Elephas maximus indicus: one gene and its partners. The protein of the gene in region 3 purifies or fractionates together with the protein of the main gene of each other region. This does not show direct contact. Links are inferred from orthologs where the notes say so. Each region holds a gene or a part of one and is shown on either strand. Other genes may lie near its edges. The genes, in order: CKAP5, SLAIN2, TACC3 and VASP.

What was found.
Region 1: the proteins of TACC3 (region 3) and CKAP5 purify together in Homo sapiens (co-immunoprecipitation; 5 studies listed by BioGRID and IntAct, with this or other methods). This does not show direct contact. The link is inferred for Elephas maximus indicus from reciprocal best matches to the Homo sapiens genes TACC3 and CKAP5.
Region 2: the proteins of TACC3 (region 3) and SLAIN2 purify together in Homo sapiens (co-immunoprecipitation; 3 studies listed by BioGRID and IntAct, counting the BioPlex papers as one, with this or other methods). This does not show direct contact. The link is inferred for Elephas maximus indicus from reciprocal best matches to the Homo sapiens genes TACC3 and SLAIN2.
Region 4: the proteins of TACC3 (region 3) and VASP purify together in Homo sapiens (co-immunoprecipitation; 3 studies listed by BioGRID and IntAct, with this or other methods). This does not show direct contact. The link is inferred for Elephas maximus indicus from reciprocal best matches to the Homo sapiens genes TACC3 and VASP.

What each region holds. Positions count from the first base shown.
Region 1 is NC_064825.1:102,292,449-102,300,263, forward strand, and holds the start of CKAP5 (cytoskeleton-associated protein 5), read right to left. Parts: upstream 3,087-7,815; 5' UTR 2,997-3,086; intron 1-2,996. UniProt on the Homo sapiens protein: Binds to the plus end of microtubules and regulates microtubule dynamics and microtubule organization. Acts as a processive microtubule polymerase. Promotes cytoplasmic microtubule nucleation and elongation. Plays a major role in organizing spindle poles.
Region 2 is NC_064823.1:110,843,361-110,850,471, forward strand, and holds the start of SLAIN2 (SLAIN motif-containing protein 2), read right to left. Parts: upstream 3,064-7,111; 5' UTR 2,799-3,063; coding exon 2,410-2,798; intron 1-2,409.
Region 3 is NC_064823.1:160,028,091-160,035,229, reverse strand, and holds the start of TACC3 (transforming acidic coiled-coil-containing protein 3), read right to left. Parts: upstream 3,204-7,139; 5' UTR 3,035-3,203; intron 2,831-3,034; coding exon of another isoform or gene 2,626-2,830; exon of another isoform or gene 2,566-2,625; intron 2,320-2,565; exon of another isoform or gene 1,610-2,319; intron 1-1,609. Other genes in the region: TMEM129 (E3 ubiquitin-protein ligase TM129), read left to right, coding at 2,626-2,830, 6,532-7,006. UniProt on the Homo sapiens protein: Plays a role in the microtubule-dependent coupling of the nucleus and the centrosome. Involved in the processes that regulate centrosome-mediated interkinetic nuclear migration (INM) of neural progenitors.
Region 4 is NC_064829.1:104,187,122-104,195,282, forward strand, and holds the start of VASP (vasodilator-stimulated phosphoprotein), read right to left. Parts: upstream 3,010-8,161; 5' UTR 2,684-3,009; coding exon 2,679-2,683; intron 1-2,678. UniProt on the Homo sapiens protein: Ena/VASP proteins are actin-associated proteins involved in a range of processes dependent on cytoskeleton remodeling and cell polarity such as axon guidance, lamellipodial and filopodial dynamics, platelet activation and cell migration.

The DNA of each region.
Region 1 (7,815 bases), on a different chromosome or scaffold from region 3:
CAGGGTAACTGCCTGATGAACAAAAACCCAAACCCACTGCCATTGAGCTGATTTCCAACGTACAGTAACCCTACAGAACAGACAAGAAACCTCATAGGGTTTCCTAGGCTGTAATCTTCATGGAAACAGAATGCCACATCATTCTCCTACGCTGTGGTTTTGAACCACCACCCTTTCAGTCAGCTGCCGAGAGCGTAACCACTGCACCACCAGAGCGCCTATGAGTCCGAATTGACTTGACAGCAAACGACAACTGCCCTGATAGGACTAAGTAACATATTCTGAACTCTAGAAGAAAGAACACCAGAATCCCTTAAGAACCTCAAAACTCTCCAAAACTGACGACCAGAAATTCATAAATTATAATTGGATTGAGACTTCAATTTTAAATTCTCCCTCCAGTTCCCCACCACACTGTCACAGCTGTCTATCTCCCATATTGCTAACACTGTATTTTCAACTGTGTCCATCTTCCCTCTAAAAACTACCACGCGCCTGTCACTCATACTTCATCATGTCTTTAAATAGAAGAAAAAAAAGTGTGGGAAGGAGCGATTCTACACAGAAATTGCTCGTGAATTGTCCCTATCAGACCCCATTACTTCACATAGCATTAACTATAGGTTAAGAGCCTTACAAAGACCCTGTAGACAAACTTGGGTTCAAAATGATGTTCTGTCACTTAGTTGTATGATCTTGAACAAGTTACATAACCTTTCTAAGACTCAGTTTCCTCATCTGTAAAATGTTGTTGTGAAGATTAACCAAAAAAACCAAACCCATTGCTGTCTAGTTAAGTCAATTCCAACTCATGACCCTACAGTGACCTACTGTACAGAGCACAACTGCCCCATAGGGTTTCCAAGGACTGGCTGGTGGATTTTTGATTAGCAGCCAAATGCTTAACCACTGCACCACCAGGGCTCCATTGTGAAGATTAGAAAAGATAAAATGTGGCACCCAATGAATATTCAAAAAATGTAGCTAGTGCTAATAAATGTATTTGAGAATTTATTTTGTTCAAGGACCACAGCTGGGCCACAGAGATTATAAAAATTACAATTTGCTACAATAAATTGTTGGGGGGATAAAACTGTAAAACTCCCTAAGGTCAGGGGCTTTGTCTTTTTCTGGATCACCAGGGTATTCCCAGAACCTAGAATAGAGTTTAGAACAGTGCTGTCATTGTGTGCTATGGAGTCGGTTCCAGCTTATAGCAACCCTATAGAACAAAGTAGAATTGTCCCATAGGTTTTCTTGGCTGGAGAGCAGAATGCCATATCCTCCTCCCACTGAGTGGCTAGTGGGTTCGAACCACCAACCTTTCAGTTAGGTTTAACACATAGTAGATATCAATCTCCGTATTTGTTGAATAAATGAATGAGACCCCATTAAATCAAAGAAGCAAAAGAAAGTCTGGCCGTATGTCAAGACTTTTAACACTATCCGAAGGCATTGTTAAAGATGCTCATTATTTTTAACTGCTTCTTCAGAACCTAGACCAGTGTTCGTAATATTTAAAGTACTCAAATTTATTACAATTTAAAACTCTGCTAAAATTGAGCTGTCAGTTGTAGAAGGCTTTAGTTGTGGTGGAACTACCTCACACCACTCCTTATAATTCAACCCTGATGATTAAGACTTTTAAAGTAATAAGAGAATAAAGTATAAATATTGCCTGTGTGAAAACCTGTGTTAAAAATTTTTTCTCACGAATTTACAAACCAGGTTTAATTTATGCTGGCAAAAGAAATCGATTTCACTTTTTTCTATATCATTAATTTTTATAAAACAATACATTTTGTCCAGTAATTTATAGAAAGTCCAAATATTTTATGACTTCATAAAAGTTTCAAAAAACTTAGCTTAATTATTGGCAGCTGCTATTCGTGAGGTCAAAAAAGGACTTCTCAGAGAGATAAAAATGGGGAAAGGAGGAGCTCACCTTTCGAAAAATGAGTTTTCAATTACTATAATTATACATAAAATAAGACAGGCAGCATTTCTGGGCCAAGATTTGATGCCCTGGTTCCCCCGAGAATTAAATTAGAGCCATGCATAAATGTGGGACAAGTTCTGCAAAAACCACTTCACCCTATAGAGACACTGAACGAAAAACTCATTAAGATTCATCGAGACAAATACGTATATTTTCTAACCCACAGCGGACACCCTGGCAACACCAATTTCATCATTTTCTATGCCAGAAACAAAACAGGATGCATTTAAATTCTTCCTGACAATTACCAGGGTTGCAGGGTAACTATCTCAATGGTCGATGAGTGGTTAAGCGCTAAAAAGTAAGAGTGTAGTTTACCAGCACCCCCCCTCCCCGAACTAGCAAGGCCTGATTAGCTTACACTGCTGGCTGTTATACTGGTCCTCAAACCCTACAAAACTGGAAAGCCACCTAAATTCTATCGACACCTTTGAAAGGCTTAGCCTCCTGCCCTAGAGAAAGTCAGGCGTTAACACCGGAGCGGTGAATGACCAGAATCGTTAAAATCGCAGCAAGCCAGTAGGGACAGAGGTGCGCGGCCAGGCCCCGGTACCACCGCCCTTATCATACTCCGAGGCGACCGGGCCCTTCAGAACCACCACAGTCTTCCCAGGCTCTCATTCATTCATTCGACAATTACGTGACGAGCACAATCTCAGGGCCGGCTCGCAGGGCCCCCGCCCCAACCCCGGAACACAGCCGCTAGCCGCGGCCCTGCGCCGCTCGCGCCTCCTGGGTGCTGCCGCCCGCGCCCCTCCGGTCACCGGGAACCCAGCCTCGGCCTCGGTCGCACACGCACGCCGGCGCCCCACGCACACTCCCAGCCGCAGGTCCCCGGGCCTCCGCCCCGTTTCGCCGCCTCAGCTCTGCCGGGTTCGTGGGGCATGGGAGGCGCGCGCCCACGGAGGTCCTCCGACCTGGGTTCGGGGACCCTCCGCGCGCGCGACGCCGAGATCTGCGGGCCTGTGTGGTTGGGTCAGGACCACCGCCCACTCACCTCAGCCGGGTCAGAACCGAGGGGCCTGCTCTAAGCCGTTTAAAACCGCTTGGGCCGCCGCACACCCCGCAGTGTCCTCGTTGTCTATTGGTGCTCGACTGACTGCCCATCGCCCTTCTATTGGTCCATTTGAAAGGACTGTGGGCACGCGCCGCCCGCAGCCTTAAAGGGGCCGCGCGAGTCGTGTTTCCCTCGGGACCGTGCCTTGCCTGTTGGGGTGAGGAAACTCCCAGGAGAAAGAGAGGTTCGCTGGAGCGAAAGCTGCCCACGATCCCGAAAGAAAGGACGAGAGGTGTGTGTAGAGATGTGTACCCATGGCTGTCAGCACTTTTGCTTTATTTAATTTCAGATATTTAAGCTGCTGTCTACAGCTGGCATTTTTTTTCAGTCGTTTCGTTCAGAAAATATTGATTGTGCGGCTAAGTGCTATGAGGAAAAGGAGAAGCAGCTGGGATGTGATGTAGTGGAACGGGACGAGGACGGTGGATTCTGGTCTTGGACCTAAAAAAAAAAAAAAATGCTTTCGAGTTGATCCCGACTCATAGCGACCCTATAGGACAGGGTAGAACTGTCCCCACACAATTTCCACGGAGCGGCTGGTGGATTAGAACTGCGGACCTTTCGAATAGTGGCCGAAGGCTTAACCACCAGGGCCCTGTCTTGGACCTATTACTGAGTAAATCACATTACTCAGTTAATAAATCTTCCTGGAGCTTAGTTTCCTAATCTGAAATAAAAAAACATCGATAGCACGATGTTTCCCTTGCAAGCTTAGTGTGAGGATTTAATGTAACTAATTAAAAATGTCTGGGAAAAGCCTTTATGAACTGTAACTCATTTTGCAAATACTCCATACTCTTGTTATTTTAAAAAATGAGAAGCTTGGTTAATATGTTCTCTAAAATTCTTGTTTAGCAATACATTCATATGTCTGTGAAAAAGATCAGGTCCTTAACTCCAAGGAACTTGCAATCTACAGTGGTAGGAAGATAAAAGTCGCTAAAATTCAAAGCTGTATGGAACTGTATAATGAAAAGCTGTAAATGCTTAGTGAAGGGAGAAATTCAGTGGCTGAGGCAGTGGAGTCACAGCAGATCACACTGGGTGACACTGTCAGAGGGAGTAACACAAAAATGACTGTCTGAAATTTTTGTGCAATGTTTAGAGCAGAACTTTTTGAGTTTTTATTAAAAATATCCCTGTAGTTACAACGATGAAGAGCAATGATGAATCCTTGAAACATCTCATAACATGAATGAATCTGGAAGGCATTAGGCTGAGTGAAATTAGTCACAAAAGGACAAATATTGTATGAGACCACTATTATAAGAACTCAAGAAAAGGTTTAAACACAGAAGAAAGCATTCTTTGATGGTTACGAGGGTGGTGAGGGAGGGAGAGACAGGGGAATTCACTAAGTAGTAGACAAGAATTATCTTAGGTGAAGGGAGGGACAACACAGTACGGGGAAGTTGGCACCACTGGACTAAACCAAAAGCTAAGAAGTTTCCTGAACACAATCAAACACTTTGAGGAACAGTGTAGCAGGGGTGGGGATCTGGGGACCATGGTTTCAGGGGACATCTAGGTCAATTGGGATAACAAAATTTATTACGAAAATGTTCTGCATCCCACTTTGGTGAGTGGCATCTGGGGTCTTAAAAGCTAGCAAGTGGCCATCTAAGATGTCAATTGGTCCCAACCCACCTGGAGCCAAAGGAGAATGAAGACCACCAAAGACACAAGGAAAATATTAGCCCAAGAGACAAAAGGAGCCACATAAACCAGAGACTCCATCAGCCTGAGACCAGAAGAACTAAATGGCGCTCAGCTACCACCGACGACTGCCCTGACAGGGAGCACAACAGAGAATCCCTGGCGGAGCAAGAGAAAAGTGGGGAGCAGAACCCAAATTCTAGGAAAAAGACCAGACTTAGTGGTTTGACTGAGACTGGAGGAACCCCAGAAGACATGGCCCCTGGACTGTCTGTTAACCCAGAACTAAAACCAACTCTTCAGACAAAGAATAGACTGGACTATAAGACGTAAAATGACACTCCTTAAGAGTGTGCTTCTTAGTGCAGCTTCTCTCTGGAGGCAAGATGAGAAAGCAAAAAGGGATAAGGACCTGGATGAAATGACACAGGAAATCCGCGGTGGAAAGGCGGAATGTGTGGTCACATTATAGGGATAGCAACTAGGGTCACTTAACAATGTGTGAATAAATTTTTGTACGAGAAACTAAACTTGAGCTGTAAACAAACAAAAATAATAATAATTCCTGTAGTTATAGCAACAAAATTTTTTTTCACAAGCCCAGCTTACATGTTTCAGTATACCTAAAGGATAAAACTCTATGCTCATTTACTTTTTGAACATTCTAATGCACTGGTCAGAGCTGTCATTATTACCCAATTACAGTGAGCTTTGAATCACATAGTTTTGTCTGCACACTCTACAAGCATGCACTGTTGTTTTTGTTGCTGGTGGTGTTTTTATAGTGACTGATTTTGTCAATTTTCTGGTGTTTTAGCTACAATATTGTGGTAATTAGCATGGGGGGGTGACACCATGAGTCATCGCACTAGGTGAAACCAACCCTAGTGACACCACTGGGTGGGGGATCTGTAAAGGAGATGAAATTTTAATCTGAGATTTGAAGGATAAACAGGTTACCAGTAGGCTTTTAATGGAGAGGGGATAGGTAAAAGCAAATTAAAACCACAATAATACTTTTTTTTAATCAGAGCTATCAAAATCTTTCAAAAATCTTGATAAAGATGAAAAAGTTTAATAACCTTGGGTTAGCCAGGATTTGGAGAAATAGACACTCAAACACAGGGTTGGTGGGTGTGTGGAACAAAGAGTTGGCATTTTGTCTCTCATTCCTGAAAATAGCCCTTGGAATTTCTCAAGCAATCAAAGTGCCGTTGTTTTTCCAAAACAGTCTGGCAACACTTATTGTTGTTATTGTTAGGTGCCATTCCAACTCATAGTGACCCTATGTACAACAGAACAAAACACTGCTTGCTTGGTCCATACTCATTGCTATGTATGAGCCCACTGTTGCAGCCACTGTGTCAGTCCATCTCGTTGAGGGTCATCCTCTAGTTGCTGACCCTCTACTTTACCAAGCATGAGGGTCCTTCTCCAGGGATTGGTCCCTCCTAATAACATGTGTCAGTACGTGAGACAAAGTCTCACCATCCTCTCTTTTAAGGAGCATTCTGGCTATTCTTCTTCCAAGACAGATTTGTTTAAGTGTTTGACAACACTTAAACATGTGCAGGAAACCCTGGTGGTGTAGTGGTTAAGAGCTACAGCTGCTTACCAAAAGATCAGCAGTTTGAGTCCACCAGGCGCTTCTTGGAAACCCGATGGGGTAGTTTTACTCTGTCCTATAGGGTCACTATAAGCCGATGAGGTGGGAGGCCAAAGACCACACCAATCGAAATAACTTCTGGAAGGGAGAGGGGTATTATGCAGCCATGCATATTCAGTAATTCAATCAGTCATTGACTATACATTAAGACTCCATCACACATATACACTGAGGTCCCAATGACTATTAAAAAGGACCCTAGGCCTTGGACTGGCACATCTTTGGGGACGAAGCTCAGTGCCAAAAACTCTTCCCAGACCTTGCCTGTGCCTCTGTTCGTGTATATCCTTTTGTGGTTATAATTAAAAGTTTTAGTGACTATAGTCCTTTCCGTGAGTTTTGTGTGCCATTCTAGCAATTATTGAACCTACCTGGGTCATGAGGGCCAACAGGGCCTGGAGCCTGCCTTTTTGGCAGTTGATTAGAAGGATAGAGTCCTAACTTGTAAAGACCCCAGCCTTGGGTGGCTGGTGGACAGAAGAGGGCTGTGCAGGCAGTCATTTTGTAAAGACTTAACTCAGGGTGGTTAGGGGCAGAGAGAGAAAATGCCATGTGGGTGGTTGGTGTCAGAGATGAAGAAATGGGAATGCAGGGATGTGAATTATCTTCACATTTGGAGAATCAGCCTTGTATCAATTATTAATGCAATGGGAATACAACTGGTGCAAACTTTCAGAAGACAATTTGGCAACTATTAAAATCTAATGTGACCATTAGAAATTTATTCTATAGATCTATGCAAGTATGCAAAGAAAATGTACAAGGATGTTCACTGCAGCACTGCTTACGATTAAAAAAAAAAAAAAACCCTGGAAACTACATGTCCATCAATAGGAAACTTGTTATGTAAATTATGGTATAGCCATTCAATAGAATGTGGTTAATCTATACATGCTGATGCAGAAAAATGTGCAATTATTAATTGAAAAAAGGCAAGTTGCAGAAAAGCATATATGGAATGATTTATGTATGTTATAAATGAATGTGTGTTTGTGTACATGCCTGAAAATGGTTAGAACATTCCTGGAATTACAAGAAACTTAAGAGCAGGATTAGTAGGGAGGGAAATAAATTTTTTACCATTAACATGTTACTTTTCTTAATAGAAGAGACAGGGAGAACATGTCTGGTAGCTTGAAAAGTATGAGCAAGGGGACAGAGACAAGTAAGTGCATTTTATATAGAGGAATTAATGTGTGGGTTTGATTTTAGGACAAGTTTCATGTTGGAAAGTAGTTGGACACAAGATATACAGAGAAGATGGGAACAGGTCTTGGAGGCCTTGAATGCTAGGGTGAGAAATTTGTATTTCAGTAGGCAATAAGGAGTTATTGAAGGTTTCAGAGCAAGGGGAGTGACACAATCAGAACTAAACTTTAGGAAAGTTAATTAGCTTCATTGTCTAAAATGGGTTAGAGCTGAGAAACAGGAGCCCAA
Region 2 (7,111 bases), about 49 Mb from region 3:
AACCTCGATTTTCCCACATTTATTTGACCCCAGAACCCACCATTATTTTTCAGGTAATATCTATTGACACATTCAGAACCAGCATTTTGTGGTAGACACTTGGGGAAAAACATTCCTGTAGATGAAAAAGTTACACTGGGTAGAAGATATAGAAAGGTAGAGATATACAGCTTTTTAACAAATAAAAAGTTTTTACTCTATGAACCTTCCTTCCCCATCCCTGACACCCATCTCCATCCAATTTATGCCCCAAACACATACCCCAAAACAAATAGGACTTATCAAACTTTTAATTAACAAATATGACTTATCAAACTTTTATTCACACAAAACTTATAATATCAAGATATGAAGCCAGGATCAAGGTAGTAAGCAGGAATCAAAAGAAACTTCTGTCATAGTATCTAAGACTTGCTTTATCTGAACAAACCCTATGCTCAAAAATCAAAGCAGCCAAAGTCTTCATCAGCTTCTCCAAATGGAGTCAATGTGTTCTAATAATACAGAATCTAAAACGGGCTCATGAGTGCAGCTAACCTTCATTGGTAAGAGCATCATTATCATCATCACTTAGAAAAGGCATGTGACGACATTTAGATGATTCTGAGTCCTTTTACAGTGTATACACGCCCAGGATTCCTCTGGGAGGACGTGATTTCACACCAATATGAAAAACTGTCACTACCATAGCCGGTTCTAATAATATTTGGTGTCACCTCGCAATAAAATAAAGCGTGACATAACATATTCCAGGGTACCTCTGTCATTCAAATTGTCTTAACTGGAAGTTATACAAATACCTCTGACTCCCCTCTTGCAGTTGTCAGCGCAAAAATGCCTTCTCACTCTTTCCCGCCCTCAGGCTCCAAAGCCACCCCCTTCTCAAAAGTCTGCCCCAACTACTCTGAATTATTTATTCTCTTCCCACTTTCTGAGTACTCTCAGTACTTTTTGTTCCTAGCATTCCTTTGGCAATTTATCCATCGTATATGTCCTAGCCTATTTAACTGCATAAAACTTAGCTCCCGACAAGACTGAACTACTTCAAGAAACGGGATCAACACTTATGAATGTTTAGAATCTCCAACGAAATCCTATAAGAGTTCATTAAATACGTCTTGATTTAAATAACTCGGTTTAAGTATAATAGCAGCTAGACTTGGAGAGCTTATGATATGCCAGACTCAGTGCTAAAAGCATACACACATTACCTCACTTAGTCTTCACAACTCTACAGAGGTAAGAACTATTATTTTCTTCAACAAGTACAGGGAGAAAGTGAGGCTCGGTCTAACTTGCCCAAGGTCATATAGCTCGTAAGGGAGGCAGAGCCAGGGCCTGAATTGAGGTTGGTGTGAATGCGAAGCTCTTAACTACCTTAGTACACTACAAAGTTCAATCGAGCCTTGCAATACCAAGAGCCTACGAAGGATTTTTATTTCACTAAGTTAGAAGTTTCCATTTCAACAAAGAGTAGAAATATTGTAGTTAAAAATTCAAACTCTAAAAAGGGATAAGAAAAAGAATTTCCCATAGGCATCTTTGTTTGACTGCAATAAAATATGATGGAAAAGGCCTTCCATAGCCTTTCTATTTAGGTAAGTGATATTAAGCTGTGGGTCACAATTTCATCAAAAAGTGGTTTATGACAATACAGCTTTGGTTTAGATTTTAAAATAGGACTCTCTTTCTCTGCCCCTAGGACGACATGGAAAGACTGATGTGACAACTGTCACTTCGCAGCTCCGAAAAATTCCCAAACCCGATTCTTGTTTAAAAACTAAAGAATAAGGGTCTTATTCCACCCTTGACTCTTCACACAAAGAAGCACCTTCTTCTGCCCTCTTCACACAAAGCAAGCTTTACCCCACTGCCCGTACGGGAATGCTGATTCACACGGTCTCCCTATCCCTGCCAGAAATGTACCCACCTCACGCTGGTCCAAAACACTGACCACTTAAACGGAGGTAGACGACTCTGGTCTGTCCCCCGCAACCGGTGGTACCTCATCCAGCAGACCCCTCCCTGAAATCCAAAATGCCCCGGCCACCACCCGAAGGCTGGTATTTCACACAAAGCACGATTCTTTCCTACAAAGCAATTTCTCGTTTCTGACTCTACCCATGGGGAGAAGCCTTTCTCCGGCTATGTCAACGCAAAGACCCCGACGGGGTCCAGGACTCGGGGAGTCCACAGCCCAGAGGAAAACTACCTACCAGCCTCTTTCCTAGCCCACCCCTCGAATCCCCACCTCCGGCCGATCTTTTCGCAGCCAAGGCAAGACCATGAGTATGCCAGAAAGCGGATCCCGCTACACAAAGCGAGGCGTTCCACCAAGGAGACCCTTGGAAGACGCTCTACACCCCCGGCCCATCCCCGCCCAGTCCGGGCCCGGTGCCCTGCACTCACCAGCTCTCCTCCTCCTCCTCCCAGCCTGACAAGCGCTCCAACTCCTCGGGCCGCAGCGGCTCCACCTCGTCCAGCAAGCCGCCCTCGCCCGCCGCCAACAAGGAGGAGGCATCCCGCAGCTCCTCGCTACTTGTCCGCCTCGGGCCCGAGCCGGCCCCGCAGCCCGACTTGGCGCTTAGGCCCAAGGGGAAGCCCCGAGGGGACGCAGTGCCGGAGGAGGGAGTGGACGCACCGGCCCGAACCGGGCTGCCGGGCCCGAGGGGGCCGGCGCTCTGCACCGCCCCAGAGCGGCTCCTCAGCTGTTCATTCTGCTTCTCCAGCTTCTTCACCAGCTCCTGCAGCTTCCGCACCTCCTGGTCCGCGTTCACGTTGGAGTTAACGTCCTCCATCCCGGCCGCGCCACTCCGCCGCCCGCCACCCGCTCGGACTCACAGCGACAGGGAGAGAGCCGCAGGAAAGAGGTGTCGCCTCCGCCGCTCACTCTAGCCGAGGCGCCGGCATATAGCAGGTCCAGGCCCCGCCACCAGGGTCCCCCCAGCTCGTATTCCGAAGCGCCGCTGGCCCCAGCCGAGCCGCCTCATCTGCGCCGGCTCCAGGATTGTGGGAGGCGGCGCCAATATCCGGCCTCCGCCGCCATCTTCCCTGCGTCCCTCCGCCCCCTGCTGTCCGGCTCCGTCGGTGACCTCAGAGCGTCGCGGATGGACGCGGCCGCGGGCGGACTCTGAGAGGACGGAGCGCCGAGCTTGCTGCGGGGCGGGGCCATGGGCGGGGTCATAGGGTGGGCGGGGCAGTGGGTGGGCGGGTCTATGCCCGGAAGGGGTGGGGCTGGGGAGGTGGGACGGGGCCCGCCCACTGGGTAAGTGACTCGGGCTATCGGTAGGGAACCGAGCGGTTGCGATATGCCGGGCGCGGCCAGGGATGAGTGCGGATTTGACTGTGGGTGGGGTTGAGCTCACGAGCGAGGACCCTTGCTCAGCCCCGCCTTCTGCTCATTCGGTCTTGGATGGTGGGCGTGTTGTTATTCACCGCCAAACACCGGCGTGTGATACCCGCGGGCCGATCCTGCCCCACCTCGCGGCTGGTTCTCGAGTGGGCACTCAGCCCAACCCCGTGGAGAGAGTTTACTTTTTCAGTTCAGCAAGTGTTTATTCGATGCCTACTTGAAACAGGAGATTGTCAGGGCCGACAGGAGCCTTAGAAACGATCTGTGATCCCTGTCTTCTTTTAAAGTGAGGAAACAAAATACCAAACGGTTAAGAGGTCTAAGGTCAAAATAATAATAACTACCATTTCTTGAGTGCTTAGTACGGGCCACTCTGCTAAGCGTTTTAAAGGTATTATCTCATCGAATAAAACGTAGTTTTCCCGACTTAAAGTTTAACTGCACCCTGTGACTCGGAAGCATAGGGGAGGGGGAAGCCATAGAAGGCAGCTCTTTTTAGACTTTTCCCATTAAATAATGGACTCACTGGGTTTTTTTTTTTTTTTTTTTAACTCTGCTCTTTGGATCGTTTTCTGCAGAAAAACTTTTTCAAATGTCGACATTTTTTCAAAATTGGGTATTAAAAGTACTTAAGAAATCTTTTGAGAGATACTGAAGAATGCGGAGAGATATATGAATATAAAAATCTGCCTCACAACTGGCGACAAAACAAACCAAAAAAAGTAAATGATTTGCGCATTTCTCTTAGCTGTCCATTGTGAACTACTTGGCTTCTGTTTGCAGCTTTCCTTCAATTGCCTCCTCCGCCCTTAGCTAACAATGATCCGGTTCTACTACACCAGGGCGTGGATTTGTATGACATGAATTAGTTTCTTCTACTCTGAGCCTTTCTATGCTGTATTGTCCTTTAATAAAATATCCTACTTGCCAAATCTGATCCTTTTCTTAAAACCCATGTTTACCCAACCAAGACACCTTTCCTGACAATGCCACGTTTTTTTTTTTTTTTTTGGTTGGTTTTTTTCTAGCATTACCTGATCAACAGTTTTCAATAGGTGTCTGCAATTAAAAAAAAAATGCTTCTTTTTCTAGGAATTAAGTTTGTTTTTGTCTGTATACTTGATGAAGAGGGATCATTCATTTTGTTTACCATGTCTAGAATAATGTCTGACACAATAGACATTCGGTACCTGGTATGTCGGAAGTTAAATAGAATATACATTCTTACAGGTCAAGGATCACATGGATGTTTATTGGTAGCAAGAGACACATTGAGTATTTTAAGTTTGCTGGCTAACTATAGATAATGTTCTCCTGATTCAACAGCACTTAATAACCACATGTATTATCTATATAATGCACATCTAAATATCATTGCTGTCTCTGACACATCTAAACTAGTTGCCAGGGGGTTAATCATTATGATGACTTCATATATAGCAGTTTTTAATGCATTTAACAGTTTGTAAAATAATTCCAACTATCCAGTTTTTGTAAGAAGAACCTTTCGAATATATTCCTTGAAAAGAATAGTTCACTCAACATTATGAACCTAAACACTAAGATTCCACAGAGCAAAAAGAGCTGGATATAATGTGGAACAATGAATCAAGAATCAGGAGGCCTGCTCCTCTGGACTGTGTCCAGTACAAGAAGACAGTACCCGGCAACCACCACTGACTGCTCTGACAGGAATCACAGTAGAGTGCTCTGGACAGAGCTGGAGAGAAATACAGAACAAAATTCTAACTCAAAGAGAAGGACCAGACTTGCTGGCCTGACAGAGACCGGAGGAGCCCTGCGAGTATGACCCCCAGACACGCTTTCAGCTCAGTATTGAAGTCACTCCTGAGGTTCACCCTTTAGCCAAAGGTTGAACAGGCCCATGGAACAAAACAAGACTGAAGGGGTGCACCAGCCCTGGGGCAGGGACTGGAAGGTGGGGGGCAGGGGGGACAGGAAAGCTGGTAATAGGGAACCCAGGGTTGAGAAGGGAGAGTGTTGAGATGTTGTGGGTTTGTTGAGCAATGTCATAGAACAATGTGTGTACTAAGATGAAAAACCGGTTTATTCTGTAAACCTTCATCTAAAATAATAAAAAAAAGGAATCAGGAGGCCTGATTGCAGGTTCTGGCTATATCATAAATATGTTGCTTGGTCTTAATCTCTGGCTACTTAATCTCAGGTCTTTACCTTTTTCAGACTGTGGGAGTTGGATGATTTCCACTATATTGGTGAATCTTCATCATTGCAAAACATAAATGTAAATATACTTAGATAAATATCTAGACATATGTAGTAGATTACTTGGATTTCTATATTTGTATTTTGTAATTGCCTTACTCTACATCTTTTTTTTTTCATTCAACAAATATCAAGTCCCTACTATGTGGCAGGAAACCCTGGTAGCACAGTGGTTAAGAGGTATGCCTGCTAACCAAAAAGTTACAGTTTGAATCCACCAGGCACTCCTTGGAAACCGTATGAGGCAGTTCTACTCTGTCTTATAGGGTTGCTATGAGTCACGATCGACTCGACGGGAACACGTTTGGGTTCTTTTTGGACTATGTGGCAGGCACTGTTTTAGGAACTTGGGTATTTAATAGGCTTCTCAAACAAGTCCAAAACTGAACATCTGATTCACGCACACGCACACTCCAAGAGCTTGTCCTGTAGTCTTTACATTCCTAGTAAATGGCAACTCTTTTTCCAGATGCTTAAGCCAGAAACTTTGGGATAATCTTCTGCAAGTCTCTCATTTATTCCCACTCTTCACTCCAACCACACTGGCCTTCTTATTCAGATATGCCAAGCATGTTTCTACCTCAGAAATTTTGCACTTGTTATTCCCTCCATCAAGGACCTACTTTTCCACCACATTTTCACATTACTAACTTCATTACTTCATTCAGGTCTCTGCTCAAATATCACCCCCTAAGCTCACCATCTTCATTGTTACTATCCTAATAAGATAGCATTCCTATCATTCCTCACCCTCTTAATCGCTTTTATTTTTCATCAGACACATCGTTCATTTCTTTCTGTGCTTATTGCCTATCTTTTCCTAGTAGAATGTGAACTATATGAGAATAGGGTTTACTGCTACATCCCCAGTGCCTAGAACACTGACTGGCGCATAGTAGGTACTCAGTAAATGTTGAATAAATGAATGAATGAGTTCTGGTCAAGTGAAGCCTCCTAAAACAGAGGTTCAGGTAAACATGTTTATGTCTCAAATCATTGAAGTGGAAATTCTTCATCACTTTGAATGTTTTTTTTGAATGGCTGATTTTTTAAGTTACATTTTCCTCTTTCGAAAGAGCAACATGTCATACTATACATGTGTTGGGGGGCAGTCCCAGCAAGGGAAAGACCCTCACTGTGCATCCTGGCAGATAATCCGAAGAACTGACACATAGCCCTTTCTAGATTCATACGTTTATTCGGGGAAACTTACTGACAGGGGCAAGCAGCTGCCCTCTCCAGTGGCGGCCGGCTGGATCATTTTCCGCAACCACCTAGCAAGGGACCCAAGCTTATATACCATTCCAGCTGGGACCAAGGCTCATCGTTTTCTTCCACGTCCTGGGGCAGTCAATGTTCCCAGGGACTTCACGTCCAGGCCCAGATGTTTTCCTTCTTGTTGCTAAGGCATTCTTCGGCCTTGGCCACTAGTCCAGTCATGCCACTCCCAGCCTTGTACCTTAGCCAGAGTCCATCCCAAATTCATCCCCAGCATGCTTCAGGGAAGAGCAAAGC
Region 3 (7,139 bases):
AGGAGGGTGAGCTGCTATGGCAGAGCTGGAGGGGACAGCAGGAAGCAGGGAGGGGGCTAGGGGTTAGGAATCCTGTTTCAGATACCTGGGGTGGGGGGCACTGAGTCAGCAGGCTGACTTTTGTACGGGAGACTGAATTTTCATGTCAGCAGCCTATGGATGCTGTTTGAGGCTGGATGAGGTCATCTATGGAACGGGCACACAAGGAGACGGTGCAGAAAGAGAACAAGAGGCCCGTGGACTGAGCCTTAATACGCAGACTTTCTGAAGGAGACTTTTCGAAGTGGTCATTAAAACAGGAGGCCCATTGAGAGCCGGGGCTCAGGAGGAAGGTGGAAGAAGGGTTTCAGAGGAAGCAGTCATCCAACTCCAAGGCAGCGACCAGGTCAGGCCAGACAAAATGAGGCCCGAGAGTTACAGGGATTTACCAACATGCAAGTGACCCCTGCAAGAGTGCGTTACTGGGCTAGCAGTGGCAAAAGCCTGACTAGAGTGGGCTCAAGGGAAAAGCGTGAAGCTGTGGAGACAGATGTAGACATATCCTGGTAAGTACCGCAAGGAAAAAGAACAAAAAAATGATGAGCAGCTGTGGTGGTATATTCCAGAAACAAATGTCACGTATTTTCTAATGGAAGAACCCAGCAGGGCTTGGCTAGCAGTGAGAAAGACTGAAGCGATAATAAATGCACAACAAAAGCCTTGAACGATAAAAAAGGTGGGGCGTGAGCTCCAGCATGCTAGCTCCTCCAGCCCACAGAAACAAAGGCAGAGAGCCTGGGCAGATACAGGGAGCGCGGGAGTTGCTGCACGTTCTCTTCCAACGCTTCCGTGGTCTTATCGACCCAAAAGGAAGATCATCGACTGAGAGGCAGATGTTAAAGGTTTGGGAAGCGATGAAGCAGTGGGGGAAGGCGGGTAACAGACCTGGGGGCAGAATAAGAGACCGGGGAAGCCGAGGGAGAGTAATAGGGCTGAAAAGAGAGGCTGCAGTACTGCCGGCTTTGGTAACAAGCAAGGGATAGGGCGGGAAAGGCTCCCCGCCCCCGCAGTCACTCCCCGGATCCTCGCTATCGCTTGCACCTGAGCCAAACACCCGCAGCACGCAGACTGCAGGACAAAACGCGAACCTTCGGCGCTGGGGTCAGAGCCCTCCCGAAGGGCCCCGGCTGGGGTCAGAGCCCGCCCGAACGGCCCCGGCTGGGGCAGGGCCGGATAGGGGGCCCCTGGCTGGGTCAGGGCCGGATAGGGGGCCCCTGGCTGGGTCAGGGCCGGATAGGGGGCCCCAACGACACGGTGCGGTGAGAGGCTCAGACGCGGCGAGCTCGGGCGGCCAAGACACGGGGGCGAGGGTCAGGGAAAGCTTCCGTGGGAAGTGCTGGCCAAGCAGAGGCCCGCTGGGCCCCCAAGTGCAGAGGCCAAAAGGGGAATCACGTCCGACGCCGCCCGCGCCGGCCCCAGCCGGGAGACGGTAGGGAACGGCGCCCGAGAGGCCTCCGCGGCCCTCCCCGGAGCAGGGACGCCTCCAGCCCGCCGGCCGCCTCCCCCTGCCAGGGGCCGGACTCCTCCCACCACGCTCGGGGCGGGGACCCCGACTCGGCTGCCTGCCTACCTGCCCGTCTGCCCGTCGCCGGGCTTCGGGCCCGCACCCCGCCGCTCGCAGCGAGAAAAGAGAGGAGAGCCGCCTGCTCCGCCGAGGTCGCCGAACCCGGGGCACCGCCGCGATCCCAGCCGGAGCTCAGCCGCCTGCCGCGCCCCGCGGATTCAAATACCGACGGTTGACCCGCGCGGCCAATCAGCGCGAGCGGGAGGCGGGCAGGTAGAGCACGGGGATGCGGAGCCAATGAGAGGCCGCATCTCGCCGGCCCCGCCCCCTGCGCTCAGGGCGTTTCCTTTTCCTGCGCGAGGGGCACGCTGGGGCCGTGGGCGGGGCACCCGGGCGCCCTCGGAGACGTCCCGGCTGAGAGGACCCGGGTCCCGCCAAACAGGCGGAAGTGAATGGATGCCCGCGGGTGGGCTTCTCGGAAGTGGGTAGGGGGAGCGTCCACGGCCGCAGAGGTCGGCTCCCCACTCACGTCCACGCATGGCCCTTTCCTGCCGCGGAGACCCGACGGGCGGTTATTGCGGGGCGCCAAAGCGCCGAGGATCTCGGACTCTGCCGGCACGCGACTGGGCTGCGCGGCACAGGGGTGCCGCGCCTTGGGAGCTACTTGCTCGGGCCTTAGTTTCCCTAGCTGTAAAATGAGCCTAGATGCAGCGCCACTTCCAGGACGGGCCGTGGGGACGGACCACACCCTCGATGGGACTGCCTAGGCGGCTCCGTCTCCCATAGTGCCCCACGGACGGCAGGAACTCAATCTCCCAGAACACCTCGCGACTGTTTGGGCAGTGGGCGGGCTCCCCAGGGTGCGCCACGGGAGGCCGGAACACACCTCCCAGAGTGCTCTGCGGGCGGCGGGGACTCCATTTCCCAGGTCTCCCCGCGGCCGGCCTGGCGGCAGTGGCCACAACTGACGGATACACGTCGGGGGCGGGTCGCTCAGGCCTCTTCCCGTGGCGGCGGCGGCGGCGGCGGCGGCGGCGGCGGCGGCGGCGGCCTCGCTCGGGCGGCTTCCCCTGGGCCTCGCGATGGACAGCCCCGAGGTCACGTTCACCCTGGCCTACCTGGTCTTCGCCGTGTGCTTCGTGTTCACGCCCAACGAGTTCCACTCGGCGGGGCTCACCGTGCAGAACCTGCTGTCTGGATGGCTGGGCAGCGAAGACGCCGCCTTCGTGCCCTACCACCTGCGCCGCACGGCCGCCACGCTGCTGTGCCACTCGCTGCTGCCGCTCGGTGAGGCGGGCCGGGCCGCTCCCGGAGACGGCCACCTCCCCACCCAGGCCCCTCCAGCCCCGCTGTGCGCTGGGTCCCGGCCCCCTGGCCCTGCCCCGCCTGGGGCCCGCTCCCCGCCGGCCTCTCGGCGGCGGGTGGCCCGGCCCGGCGCGGGTTGGGGCCCCGACCCCACGACTCCCAGTGTCTGCAGGCGCACACCCTCACCGAGGCTGACACGGCTTTCAGGGTCCCCACGTTTCTGCTTGGTTGTCGTCTGTCAGGTTCGGGGTCAGTTCTACTTCTTCCGAAGCGGTGTGTCCGGTCTGGGTCAGGACCTGAGGGCAGTGCCGAGTCTTCAGGCCCTTCCGGCCTCTCCCGGCCTGTTTCCTGGTGGGAGAGGTCAGGAGTCAGTCCAGCCTCTGTGACTTGTTAAGGGAAAAGGACTCCTGGGAGAGGTTCTCTGTGCTCTGAGCTCGTTGGTTGAGGATGGGGTTGGGTTCGTGCAACTAAGATCTCTCCTGCCCCCTAAATGTGGCTTAAGCACGGTGGACTCTCTCTCTGTTCCGTAACAGAGGTCAGCAGGAAGTCAGTGCAGGGCTGCTCTGGGGGCTTCACAGGTGCCAGTGACCCAGGCTCCCTACAGCTCTCTCCTCTGCCACGGGGACGGTGGCCTCAAAGCCTGTGTGGTGCTGCAACAGCAGCTCATCAGCTTGCTGGCGGGAGGGGACCTGAGAGTCCCCACCAACACCTGCTTTCTTGCATGCCTGGAGTGAGGGGGGCTCCAGGAAGCAGACGCTGAGATGGAATTCGTCGTGCATAGGGTTCCTGAGAAAGGAGCAGGGGGGAAGCGGGCTCAGGCAGGGGAGCAGCGTGGACTGCCCAGTGGGGCACCCTAGGCGCCTGAGATGGGGAAAAATGGCCAGGCTTCAGGACCACAGTCTTGCTCAGGTGTTGGCTGGGGCCACCTGAGAAGAGGGTGACCTCAGCGTTTAGATGGGCACTGTTCTGGGGAGTTCTGAGTGGAGCTTCTTGTGTCTGCCGCTTGGGGGTCTGCTTCTTACAGAGTTGGAAAAAGGGTGCCTGTCTAGTGGCTACAGTGGCCACACCGGAGATGCAGTGTGACAACTTTGTGCTGGCTTGCAAGTGACAGAAGCCGGGTCTGGAACCTTGGGGGAAGAGTGTCTTGGCCCAACTGGGATCAGGTAGGGGACCTCACAACCACCAAGAAGGAAGAGTCAGGAGTAGAGCACATCTTTTGGACTTGGGATCCCTGTGCTGAGAATCTCCTAGACTGAGGAGATGTAACACCGGAGAGAAGAGAAGCGGAGGCAGCAGAAGCAGGAGCCCAGCAGGAGAGAGCTGGGTGGGCTTCCGGGCCCATGGAACAAGAATGTTGAGTGTCGTTGAACGAGAAGGCTGAGTGCCTTTGTGCCGACGCTTGCTAGCCGAGTGGGGTGCTCCTGGGCACTTACTGGTGGAGCTGAAGAGCTTTGTAACAGTCGTCTGAGCAGGGCAGAGGCCAAGGGCTAGGCAGAGGCACGCCTGTGGGCATCGCTGAAAAGCTGTCATGACAAAAGAACTATTTCAAGCTGTTTCTGCTCCTGAATCGTAACCTGCTACTTCCCTAATAAATTCTATAATCGTGAGTATTGTCTGTGAGTACCGTGTGGCCATCACAACAAATTATGGAACTCAGCAGAGAGTGCGGTGGAAGTGACGGTTGGTGTCAGAATTGGTAAGAAGTTGGAGAGAGAAGGTGGAGGATTCAGCTTTGGACTATCTTGATTCTCTTCCCGTCTTGTAAAGTTAGGTCAGATGCTGTGCCGCCACCACACCCATGGGCCAACTTGCTGCTTTCAGTGAAGGGGGGTGGGGGAGCAATTTCCAGGACAATGGCACTGGTTCATGAACTGATTCCAACAGGAAGGGTTGGAGGGCTTCGTAGAGGAGGTAGCATTGCTCTGGGTGTAGGGAGAGCAGGCAGAGGTGGGGTGGGAAGCAAAGTCCCAGGTTGGGGGAACCACAGATGCAGAGGCCCAGGAAAGGCCACGGATGTGAGGCTAGGACACTTGGATGTTACCCAGGGGCCAGCGGGGCATCAGGAATCTGGAGGCGTAAACAGGTCTGGGAGCAGATGGCTGGTGGCAGGCATGTCTGCAGTACCACGGACACAGCAAGGGTATCTGTCTTGCTGGTAGGAGGACACAGTGGCCTGGTCTGGAAAGGTGAGGCAGGTGCGGGGTGGAAAGAGCAGAGACAGCCAGGCTGTGGGCATGTCAGCCTCCCTAGCGTGGTGTGCGGAGACGGGCTGGTGGGGCCTGTACTGCCGGAGGGCTCGAGGAGAGGGCTAGGTGGGTGGTGGATGGCCAGAAGGAGTAGAGGCCTGGGACTTGGAGCCCCCTCACCACCAGTCCAGTCCTGATGCCCGCCCCAGCCCCTGAGTCGTGGTGGGGATGGCGTGGTTCCTCCAACCAGAGAGGCTCAAGGCGGTGAGGCCAGGGCTGCCCTCAGGAAGGAGGGAGGCCCCAGAGATGGGGTGGCAAGCTGCGCCTGTGTTTCGTAGCCCAGTGACCATAGTTGCTCACTCAGCCGGAGCCCCTGACCAGCCAGGTCTCCAGGAGTGCAGCAGCCCCGAGGGAGGAATGCTGCGAGCCCGGTCTCCAGATGAGGAGGGCACGGCTAAGAGGGGCACCCCTGACAAGATCACTCCCATACAAGGGCTGTGGGTTGGGTTTCTGCTTCTGGGGACTAAAAACCCCAGCCCAGCTGCCCTCTAACTGCACCTTCAGCACAAGGGGCTATGTTGAGGAGCACGAGCGTCCCCAAGGCCACCCCAGGAGGACCCAGTGAAACCAAGACTCGGGCTGTTGGGGATCGTTCTGTCAGTTATCTACTATTATTATTATTCAAGTTTTTTGAAGCTTAGTGATTTCAGATGATACATTTACTGTTACCTTTTGGTGGCGTAGTGGTTAAGTGTTATGGCGGCTAAGCAAAGTGCTGGCAGTTCAAATCCACCAGGCACTCTTTGGAAACTCCACGGGGCAGTTCTATTCTGATCTATGCGATAGCTGTGAGTCAGAATCAACTTAACGACAACGGTTTTGGTTTTTTGGCTTTGGTTACTTTTTGCCAACTCAACCTGTTACCAGCGTCATCACTTACGTTAATTGGCTTCGTGGTTCCAGATGTCCCAGGTGCTGTGTGTGCCCCGTCCCTGCTCTGGAGCTCAGAATGGTCCTTTCTCCCGTTTGCATCCTTGGGAATGGGACTGAGAGACAATGGCCTGGGCCCAAAGCTGCTGCCTGAGCTGTGGCCAGCCATTGGTCACCTCTGGGTCCAGCGACACCAAGTCATTGTGTTTATTTTTGTTTTTCTCGGTTTACCTAATTTCTTTGGTATTCATGTATCACTCTTGTGAAACTGATACAGTAAATTAAAGCATCTTGCCCTTGGCTTAGCGCACTAACACTGTGGACGAGAACTGAGGCGGCCCGCCAAACTGAATGGGCACACCTGCTCTGGGTGCTGGCCTTGCCCTGGGAGCTGTCCAGGCTTCAAGTGACCAGGGCAGAGGGCCAGGCCCAGGGCGGGGGACAGGGGAGCATGTGCCCCCTCTTCAGAAATACAGGGAGGGCACTGTGGCCCTTGGTCGACACTCTGGGAGGTGGACAGTGGCCTGGCCTGTCCTTGATCTCCGCTGAAGCTCACTTGTCTTGCAGGCTACTATGTGGGCATGTGCTTCGCAGCCTCGGAAAAGCGGCTCTACATGCCCAGCGAAGCCCCAGAGGCCTGGGGGCTCTTCCTCCTGCTGGCAGTGACCCTCCCTGCCACAGCGTGCATCCTCATTTACCACTGGTCGCGTGAACAGTGGGCCCACCACCCGCTGGCCCGCACACTGGCACGGTATGCCCTCCCACAGTCAGGCTGGCGGGCCGTTGCCTCCTCTGTCAACATGGAGTTCCGGCGGATTGATAAGTTTGCCACCGGGGCACCGGGTGCCCGCGTGATAGTGACGGACACCTGGGTGATGAAGGTGACCACGTACCATGTCCACGTGGCTCAGCAACAGGACGTCCACCTGACCGTGACAGAGTCACGGCAGCACGAACTCTCGCCAGACTCGAACCTGCCTGTGCAGTTCCTCACCATCCGTGTGGCCAGCGCCAACCCCTACGTGAAGGCCTTTGACATTCGGTAAGCGTGGCTTAAGTGCCGCCACCAGCAGATCGCATGCCTGGGTGGGGGTGAGCCCAGGGGCCTGTCTGAGGGTGCGCAGGCAGGTTCCTGCATACCTGGGTATCATGTGTGACAGCAACCAGTGCAGCCC
Region 4 (8,161 bases), on a different chromosome or scaffold from region 3:
TTCTCCTCCAAGGGCCTCAGTTTCCCATAAATGTACAGAAAGGTCAAGCTTCCTGCCTGAATTCGTTTTGCTTATCTGCTTCATCTTAAGTGTCCCTAGAGCGAAAATGTGTTACCTGTATTTACAAAAAGTTTTTTTTAATGTCCCTCCTTCTTTAATAAAAAAAAAAAAAAATTTTTTTTTTTTTTTTATAGCATATAGTAATTTGGAGACAGCCTGGGTTCAAACTGTTTGATGTAGCAGGAAATTTGCTTCTCTGTGCCTCAGTTTTACCATCTGTAAACTGGGAGGGCTGTAATGACATTAACCTCCTAGAACTGTGAGGAGGATTAAACTGAATCAGGCCCTAGTACTGTGCCTGGTACTGAGCAGATGCTTGAGCAAATGTTTCTTTCTTTTCTTAAATAACAATAATAACAACTACTATTACTGGAAGAGGGAAAAAATGGGCTCAAATTCTTCCTGAATCCACTCTGCCTGGAGATTTTCAGACTACTTCCCCTCTTCTCGGCCCTCCCAGAATTCCAGCTCAGAGTTCTGTACACACAGGAGACACTCAACAAATATTTGTCAAACTGGGAGAAAAAGAAATATATCTTGTAATTTTCCATGTTAATATCCTCTCCTTCCAACTGCCCATCGACTGTTCCCAGCCTAACCAGCCTAATCAGAGGACTGAATCCCAGCATTTCCCTACTCCACCACCCCCAAATTGTCTAGGATTTGCTGAGGGGCCTTTATGCTATGGTTTTCTCTTTGAGCCTCAGTTTCCCCAGCTGGGAATAGAGGCATGGTTCTCCTGAATCCTAGTCCTTGGAGAGGGGGCAGAGCCCAGAAAGGGAGACCCTGCAGGAGGTGGGAGTGACCCTCTAGTGGGATAGGATCAACTTCTGCCCACCCCCCAGGAGGTGGGAGGTTTGGCCACAGCCATCACAAGAGGGGGCCCTGTGGGAGGGCCAGGGCCTCGGGGCTGGGGGTAGGGCGGGAGGCCGGCCCAGAAGCTGCTCCTGCCCTTTTACGGTCTCACAGCGAGTGAGGCAGCACTAACTCGGACATCCGCCATCCGCCTTCCTTGGGACCGGAAACGCGCCTGGGGGGGACAAGAGGCGGGGCTGGGGGGGGCAGTGGGAGAGCAGCGTCCCGTCCCAGGGGAAGAGGGTGAAGGAAGACCGCAAACTGCCCCCTCTCCAGGGCAGACCTCAAGGGATACTGCTATAACAGGGAGAAAGCTAGACAGGAAGTCTCGAAGATGTCTGTGGGTGCCCCCTTGCTCCGAATTTTCCAACAACCCCTTTCCCAGCAGAAGGAACAATCGGGAAGAGAGTTCTCTAATGGTCATAGAAAGGAATGCCACCCGAATATCAGAGGCAGGGGTGTAGGGGAAGTGGGAGTGTGCGGGCACCAGGGGGTTAATCCCCAGCAGTCCCCTGGGGCCTTCCCCCTTAGGCTGGGGGCTTTGGGGCAGGAAGTCCCAGAGAGAGTGGAGGAAGGGAGATAGTATTGTCAGGCTCCAGCCCCAATGGAGAGATTATGGAGGGTTGTGAGTCCCTTCCCCTAGCCCAGCTCCCGCACTAGCCCCACCCTCAGGTGAGCCCGGGAGTTTTAGGGGAGGCCTCATGAAGACACAATCCCTGGGTGCCTTGGCCCCTCACCCTCAGGATTAAATTCTTGGGAAGATAACTGGAACTCTCTGGGAAGCTTAGGTCCCAGGGGGAGAAGGCTATGACCTTGAAGCTTTCTTGCGCCCCTTCCTCCAACCCCACAGCTCCCGAGGGCCCGGCAAGGCTGCGGGGAGAGGGGGGGTAGGTAAGGGACCGGGGTGAGGAGAGCTGCCAGCCCAACGCGCTCTTTGCCCGCCCCCCACACCAGCTGTCTCGACAGGTGAGTCAGAAAGACAAAGGCCCCCCTTCCCCCAGCTGCCGCGCCCCCTCCCTCTCTAGGGCCGCGCAGGTGGGGGAGAAGGGCCGCCCTGCTGGCTGAGGGCGGGGAACCGCCCTCCGCACAGAGCGCTCGCTCTGTCCTAGGCACGGCCTGTTTCGGGAACCCTGTGGGTGCAGAGAGGCGCGGGAGGGGAGTCCCAGCCAGACCCTCGAGGTTGCGTCTGGGTCCATCAGTCCGTCCGAACTGACCTCCTCCACAAGAGGATCTTAGTGTCCCTCCCCCCCAAAATTTAGAGGATTAAGACGTACCCCTGAAGTTAGGAAGCGCGGTTCCAACTGGGGAGACTTTTCCAGCGCCACGTAAAAGGGGACCCCGCTAACAGGGGTCTGCGTGTTTGCCTCTCTCCCAGGCTCCAGAGTCCCCAAGCCGATCCCTCCCATACCCCGAGTTGAGGTTTGGGGGGATTCTGGGGTCTGCCTAAATTCTGGCATCTCTGCGGAGAGAATTCGCCAACTTAGAGGTCCCCTGAAAAAGTCTTTAAAATTCGGGAGTCCGCCGGAGCGCCCCCAAATGCGAGGGCTCCCAGGAGAACCTCACCGGCATCACCCCGAACCTTAGGAGTCTGGGGGAGGTGGCCAGTATTTGAAGCTCGTCCAAGGGGATTCGGCCCCAAATCTAAGGCTCCTAGCACCCGGTCCCCAAATTCCAGCCCCAAGCGAGCTGGGGGAGGGGGGACAAAGGCAGGGCGAGGAGCCCGCGCCGGGCGGGGAAGGGTCGGGCTGCAGTTCGCGGCTCACCTCATGGCTGCTCACTGGCGGGTGGCGCGCCCACGGGGTGAAGGCTCCCGGGGCGCCCCTGGCTCGCTGTTCAGGGGTTCGGGGCTGGCTCCAGGTTCTGCTCAGTCTCCCCCAGGGTCCCGCCCCATAGAGTCCGGCTTCCTGGGGGGAATGTGGCCGGGGCCGAAGCGGGTCCTCGGTCGCCTTCTCCCCCTGAGGTTTGATGGGGGTCCCTACGGCAGAAAGGGGGTGCGGCGTCCCCTCCCCGGCGCGCCCCTCGGCCGGCAGCGGCTACAATGTTACTCTTACTACTGTACTTCTCTTCGCTACATTTCGTTCCAAAATTCCACTCCCCGCACCCACAATGCCCCGCGCCTTAAAGGGGCCGCGGCTGCCTCAAGGCTGGGGGTGGAGGGCGCTTAAAAGGGCAACGCGGCACCGTTGACTTCCGCTATTTTCCTTGTCCTCAATGTGAGTGCATAGGGGTGCACTCCGGGGGTCACCCAAAAATTGGGGGGGTAGCTCGGTAGAAGGGAAAGGGATCCTTTCACGATCCCTATGTCTCCCCCAGTATGGAAATTCTTAGGGCGATCGAAACGGGCACAATTTTTCCCCTCTCGTCCTCCCCATTGACTTCTCCATTTCTTTCCATGTTGCTAAATTTTGGGGGGCGAGGGCTCGGACCCTCTGGGTAAACACAGATTCCCTCAAATTTTGTCCCTTAAACCCCACCTTCGGAGCCCCCAACGTCTCTGTCTTCTCTGTTTATGAGAGGGGTTACTGGGGGGGTGAGTCCCCTATCCCGTACAGGAGGGGGATGGGTGGTTAGGGTCCCACCCTTCTAACCGCCCGCCCCGGGAAGGTGAGGAGGAAGTGGTCCGAGGGGGCGCGGCCGGCCTATGACTCACAGCCGCAGGGTCGGGGTGTGGGGTGAGGAGGGGGGTGGGGGCTGGGGAGACGGGCGGGGGTGGGGGGAGCGGCGCTAGCCTGGGGTAGGGATGCGACGCCGGGCTCCTGTGTGGGCCCCTCCCCACGCACGCCCCGCCATGACTCAGTTTCTCCTGCGGAGGATGGAGGGATCATCCCAGCAATCTAGGGGGCCCGGAGGCGGGGAGACGCCCAGGTGTCCCTTCCTCGGGTCCCCCTTTCCCAAGCGCCCGCTCAAGGCAGAACGCAGCGCCCGGACCTCTTCCGAGGCTTCCGCAGCGAGTCCCGCAGGCCCCGCCCAAGTGACGTCACCCCGCGCGGCCACGCCCCCCGGAGAGTGCCACCTTGTCCGGGTGAAGTGCTTACAGGAGGGCCTGGAGCCTGAGAAATCTTCACTAAGATGCGTGCAAATGGGTAGACTGAGGCCTGGAGGCAGGGAACGTATCTGGGCTATGGCCCTCTTGCCGGAGCCCCAGGGTGTGAGTGTAAAACCAACATTTCTCAGGACCCAGCAGATTCGACGATGCCCTGTTGCTGCCCTCCTTCACCTGGGGAGCACCTCACCTTCTAGGCCAAGCCCTGAAAGGAATTCTCTGAAGCACCGAGTAAACCCCCTCCCCTTCTCCACCCCACTGTGGATACCCTGAACCCTGATCCACCTAGCTTGTAATTGTTCTTCCGTGTGTCTTCTCCAGGTGGGAGTTCTTTGGGGGCAGGGTTATACTTGATCGATTTCTAGGCTTCACCCAGCCCTGCCAGACTCAGCAGCAATCGAATTAGGACCTCAGTTCCGTGGGATCTTGGTCAAGTCCTTTCTCCTCTCTGGGTCTCTGCTTTTCCATCTGTGAGTATTTCTGGGTGCCAGGGGTCAGCAGACTTTTTCTGTAAAGATCCAAATAGTAAATCTTGTAGACTTTGGGGGCCACGTAAGTCCGCTTTCACATATTTTTCTTTACAACCGTTTAAAAATATAGAAACCATTCTCAGTTCAAACCAAAACCAAACTCGTTCCCGATTCTGACTCATAGTGACCGCATAGAACAGAGTACAGCTGCCCCATAGGGCTTCCAAGGAGCAGCTGGTGGATTCGAACTGCAACCTTTTGGTTAGCACAGCTGAGCTCTTAACCACTGAGCCACCAAGGCTCCATTCTTAGCTCAAGTACCACTACAAAATAGGTAGCAAGACCCCTCCACTAGAGAAACCCTTGCATATGTGCACAAGTAACCTGTTCAGTGGTCTTTGCGGCAGCAGTGCTGTCGGAGCAGGAAATTAGAAACAGCCTAAAGGCCATCAAAGGAGGGACGGATAGCTAAACCATTGCATAGCCCTCCTCTGGGCATCAGCTGAAAAGAATGGAGTGTGTAATTGCATGGAAGAGATCTCTATGATGCTGTTGAGTGACAAAACAAGTTACCGGTACGAAAAAAATCAAGGAAATACCAAAGATGCCATATATTTGTGAGAGGAACATAAACATGTGTGTACATGCAGAGGAAGGAGCCGTGGGGGTGCAACTAAAATGCTGACAGTTTAAACCCATTCAGTCGTTTTTCAGGAGAAAGCTGGCGATCTTCCCCTTAAAGATTACAGTCGAGAAAACCCTATGGGGGAGTTCTACTCTGTCTGTCACACAGGGTTGCTGTGAGCCGAAAATCAGCTCCACAGGACCTACAACAACATGCAGAGCAAAAGACCTAGAAAAATTCACTCCTTTTTGGTTACCATTCTAGTTATCTAGTGCTGCTGTTATAACAGAAATACCACAAGCGGATGGCTTTAACAAAGAGAAATTTATTCTCTCACAGCCTAGGAGCCTAGAAGTCCGAATTCAGGGTGCCAGCTCCAGGGAAGGCTTTCTCTCTTTGTCAGCTCTGGTGGAAGGTCCTTGACATCAATCTTCCCCAGTAGAGAAGCTTCTCAGCACAGGGACCCCAGGTCCAAAGGACATGTTATCCTCCTGGCTCTTGTTTCTTGATGGTATGATGTCCCCATGTCTCTCTCCTCCCTTCTCTCTCTTATATCTCTAAAGAGATTGACTTAAGACACAATCTAATCTTGTAGATTGAATCCTACGCCATTAACATAAAAAAAACAAAAAACTGAACCCAGTGCCCTCCGACTCATAGCGACCCTATAGGACAGAGCAGAACTGCCCCGTAGAGTTTCCAGGAAGTGCCTGGCAGATTCAAACTGTTGACCCTTTGGTTACCAGCTGTAGCACTTAACCACTATGCCACCAGGGTTTCCCCTCATTAACATAATTGCCTTTAATCCTGCCTCATTAACATCATTGAGGCAGGATTTACAACACATAGGAAAATCACATCAGATGACAAAATGGTGGAAAATAACACAATTCTGGGAATTGTGGCCTAGCGAAATTGACACACATTTCTGGGGGGACACAATTCAATCCATAACAGTTACCAGTGAAATAGGGAGCAGGAATGTGAGGAATTCATTGGTCATAAAGATCTCAAGCCTCATCCTGGCAATGCCAAGTTTGATCCTGCCTACAGGGCTTTGCACTGGCTGTTCCCTCGGCTTGGTACACTTTTCCCTGGAGTATTTGTACCCCTAGCTCCTTATCTGTCAGATCTTTGCTCAAATGTCCCCTTTTCCCTCTGCAGAGGCCTTCCCTAAGGCCCCTGTCTAAAACACTACCCTGAGGTGGAAAATTCAGTGGCTGAGGGTGGGGGATGGAAAAAGACTTTTCATTGTGCACCATTTTGTATCCTTTGAATTTCGAACCGAGTGAATTGATTACCCATTCAAAAAACAAATAACAATTTTAAAGACCAAAGTAGGGCCCCTAGTCATTTTGTTATCACGTCTCTGTTTTGTTTTCCTTGGGATACTTGTCAGTGTTTAAGATGACCTTATTTATTACAGGTCAGTCCCATGGGGGTAGGGTTTTCAGCTGGCCTTGCTCAAGGTTGTAAGCAGGGCCTCAGGCACAGCAGGTGCCCTACATTGATTTGCCAACTAACTAGGTAAATCTTGTTTATGTTTTCTACAAGGAAAATATGTCTGAAGTTACTTAAGTAATTAAAATTTAATAAGAACTCTAACCAGCCCCAATTTAAAAAAAAAAATTAAACAGATAAAAATGGGAAGGAAAGTGAAGGTTATTGAACTGAGTGATTTCTCTGGTTCTGTTCAGCTGTAAATATTTCAAAATTTTGGGGGGTTTTTTTGGTCTGAATGGTGTGTGGAATTTCCCCCTCATGTAAGATTTTCTGTCAGAGGGAACTAGGAGAAAGGAGAATAAGCACTCTGAAGTTCCTCCATGGGCTATCTTCCTTCCGCTGGTCCTCTGAGCTGGGGAAGGGGTCAGTTTTTTTCCTTAGTTGCGTGGGGCCCCCAGCTGAGTGGAGGATCCCCAAAGGACGACAGCTGTCAGGCCTCCAAGCTCAAGGCAGCACTTGAATGGAGGCTGGTGGGCTTTCCGGTCCTACCGTGCCCCTTCTGTAATGCAAAATGTGGGAAATGGTGAATGGGAACCCCCTTCTCGCCCTCTCAGCATCCACTTCCCTGTCGTCTGGAAGCAGCACTCATATTTCCTTTGAGGGTCTACCATTCCCCAGTCTTTCAATCCATGAGGTTTGGCTGGAGCAGCCCCAACCCCAAGTGCTAAAGGTGGGCATGTGACCCTAGCCAGACCAATCAGAAACACAGAGACTGATCAGACATGTGACTCAGTTGGGCCAATGAGAACCTGCTATGGGAGGACTGCTGGAACTACTGGGAAACTGGTGCCCTCTCTCCACTGGGGATGGTAAGATGGTGGGATGTGAGCCTGAAGCTGCAACTCTGCTACCTCCCAGACCTGCCTGGGAATGAAGCCAACTCAAAGAAAATAAAGCTAAGAGACAACTCCTGATGACAACATCTGAGAGCTGGATCCAGCTATACCTTAAGTCCCTGAATGCTTCAATTACAGGATCCAATAAATTTCCTGTTTTGCTGTCACAGGTTAAATTGGGTTTCTGTCACTTACAACCCAAAGAATTCTGATCAAGACCTCCTTCCATTGCTTAGAAACTATCAGCAATCCCCCGTCATCCAAAAGATAATAACCAACCTCCCTTTCCTACCAGGTAAACACCTTTGGATTCTGGCTCCAGCTTTCTCCTTCACATTTCTTCCCTGACTCCTGCCCCCACACCTTAATTTATGCTTCACTACCTACTACTTCTCTTCTGCAGCTACCTGAGTCCAACTCACAACTCTCCTGTCCAAGACCTAGATGGTTCTCAAGGATATTGTCCTCGGGGTCTCTGCACTTCGTTCAGCCCTTAGAAACCAAAAAACCCAAACCCGTTGCCATCAAGTTGATCCCGACTCATAGTGACCTTATAGGACAGAGTAGAACTGCCCCATAGGGTTTCCAAGGAGTGCCTGGTGGATTCAAACTGCTGACCTTTCAGTTAGCAGCTGAACTCTTTACTATGCCACCAGGGTTTCCATTCAGGCCTTAGGGAACTGTTATTAACATTCCCCAAATTCTTCTGCCTTATTCCTGGTTGGAGGGCTGATGCTTGGGATGATGGGCCTTATAGAGCCTTGCAAAA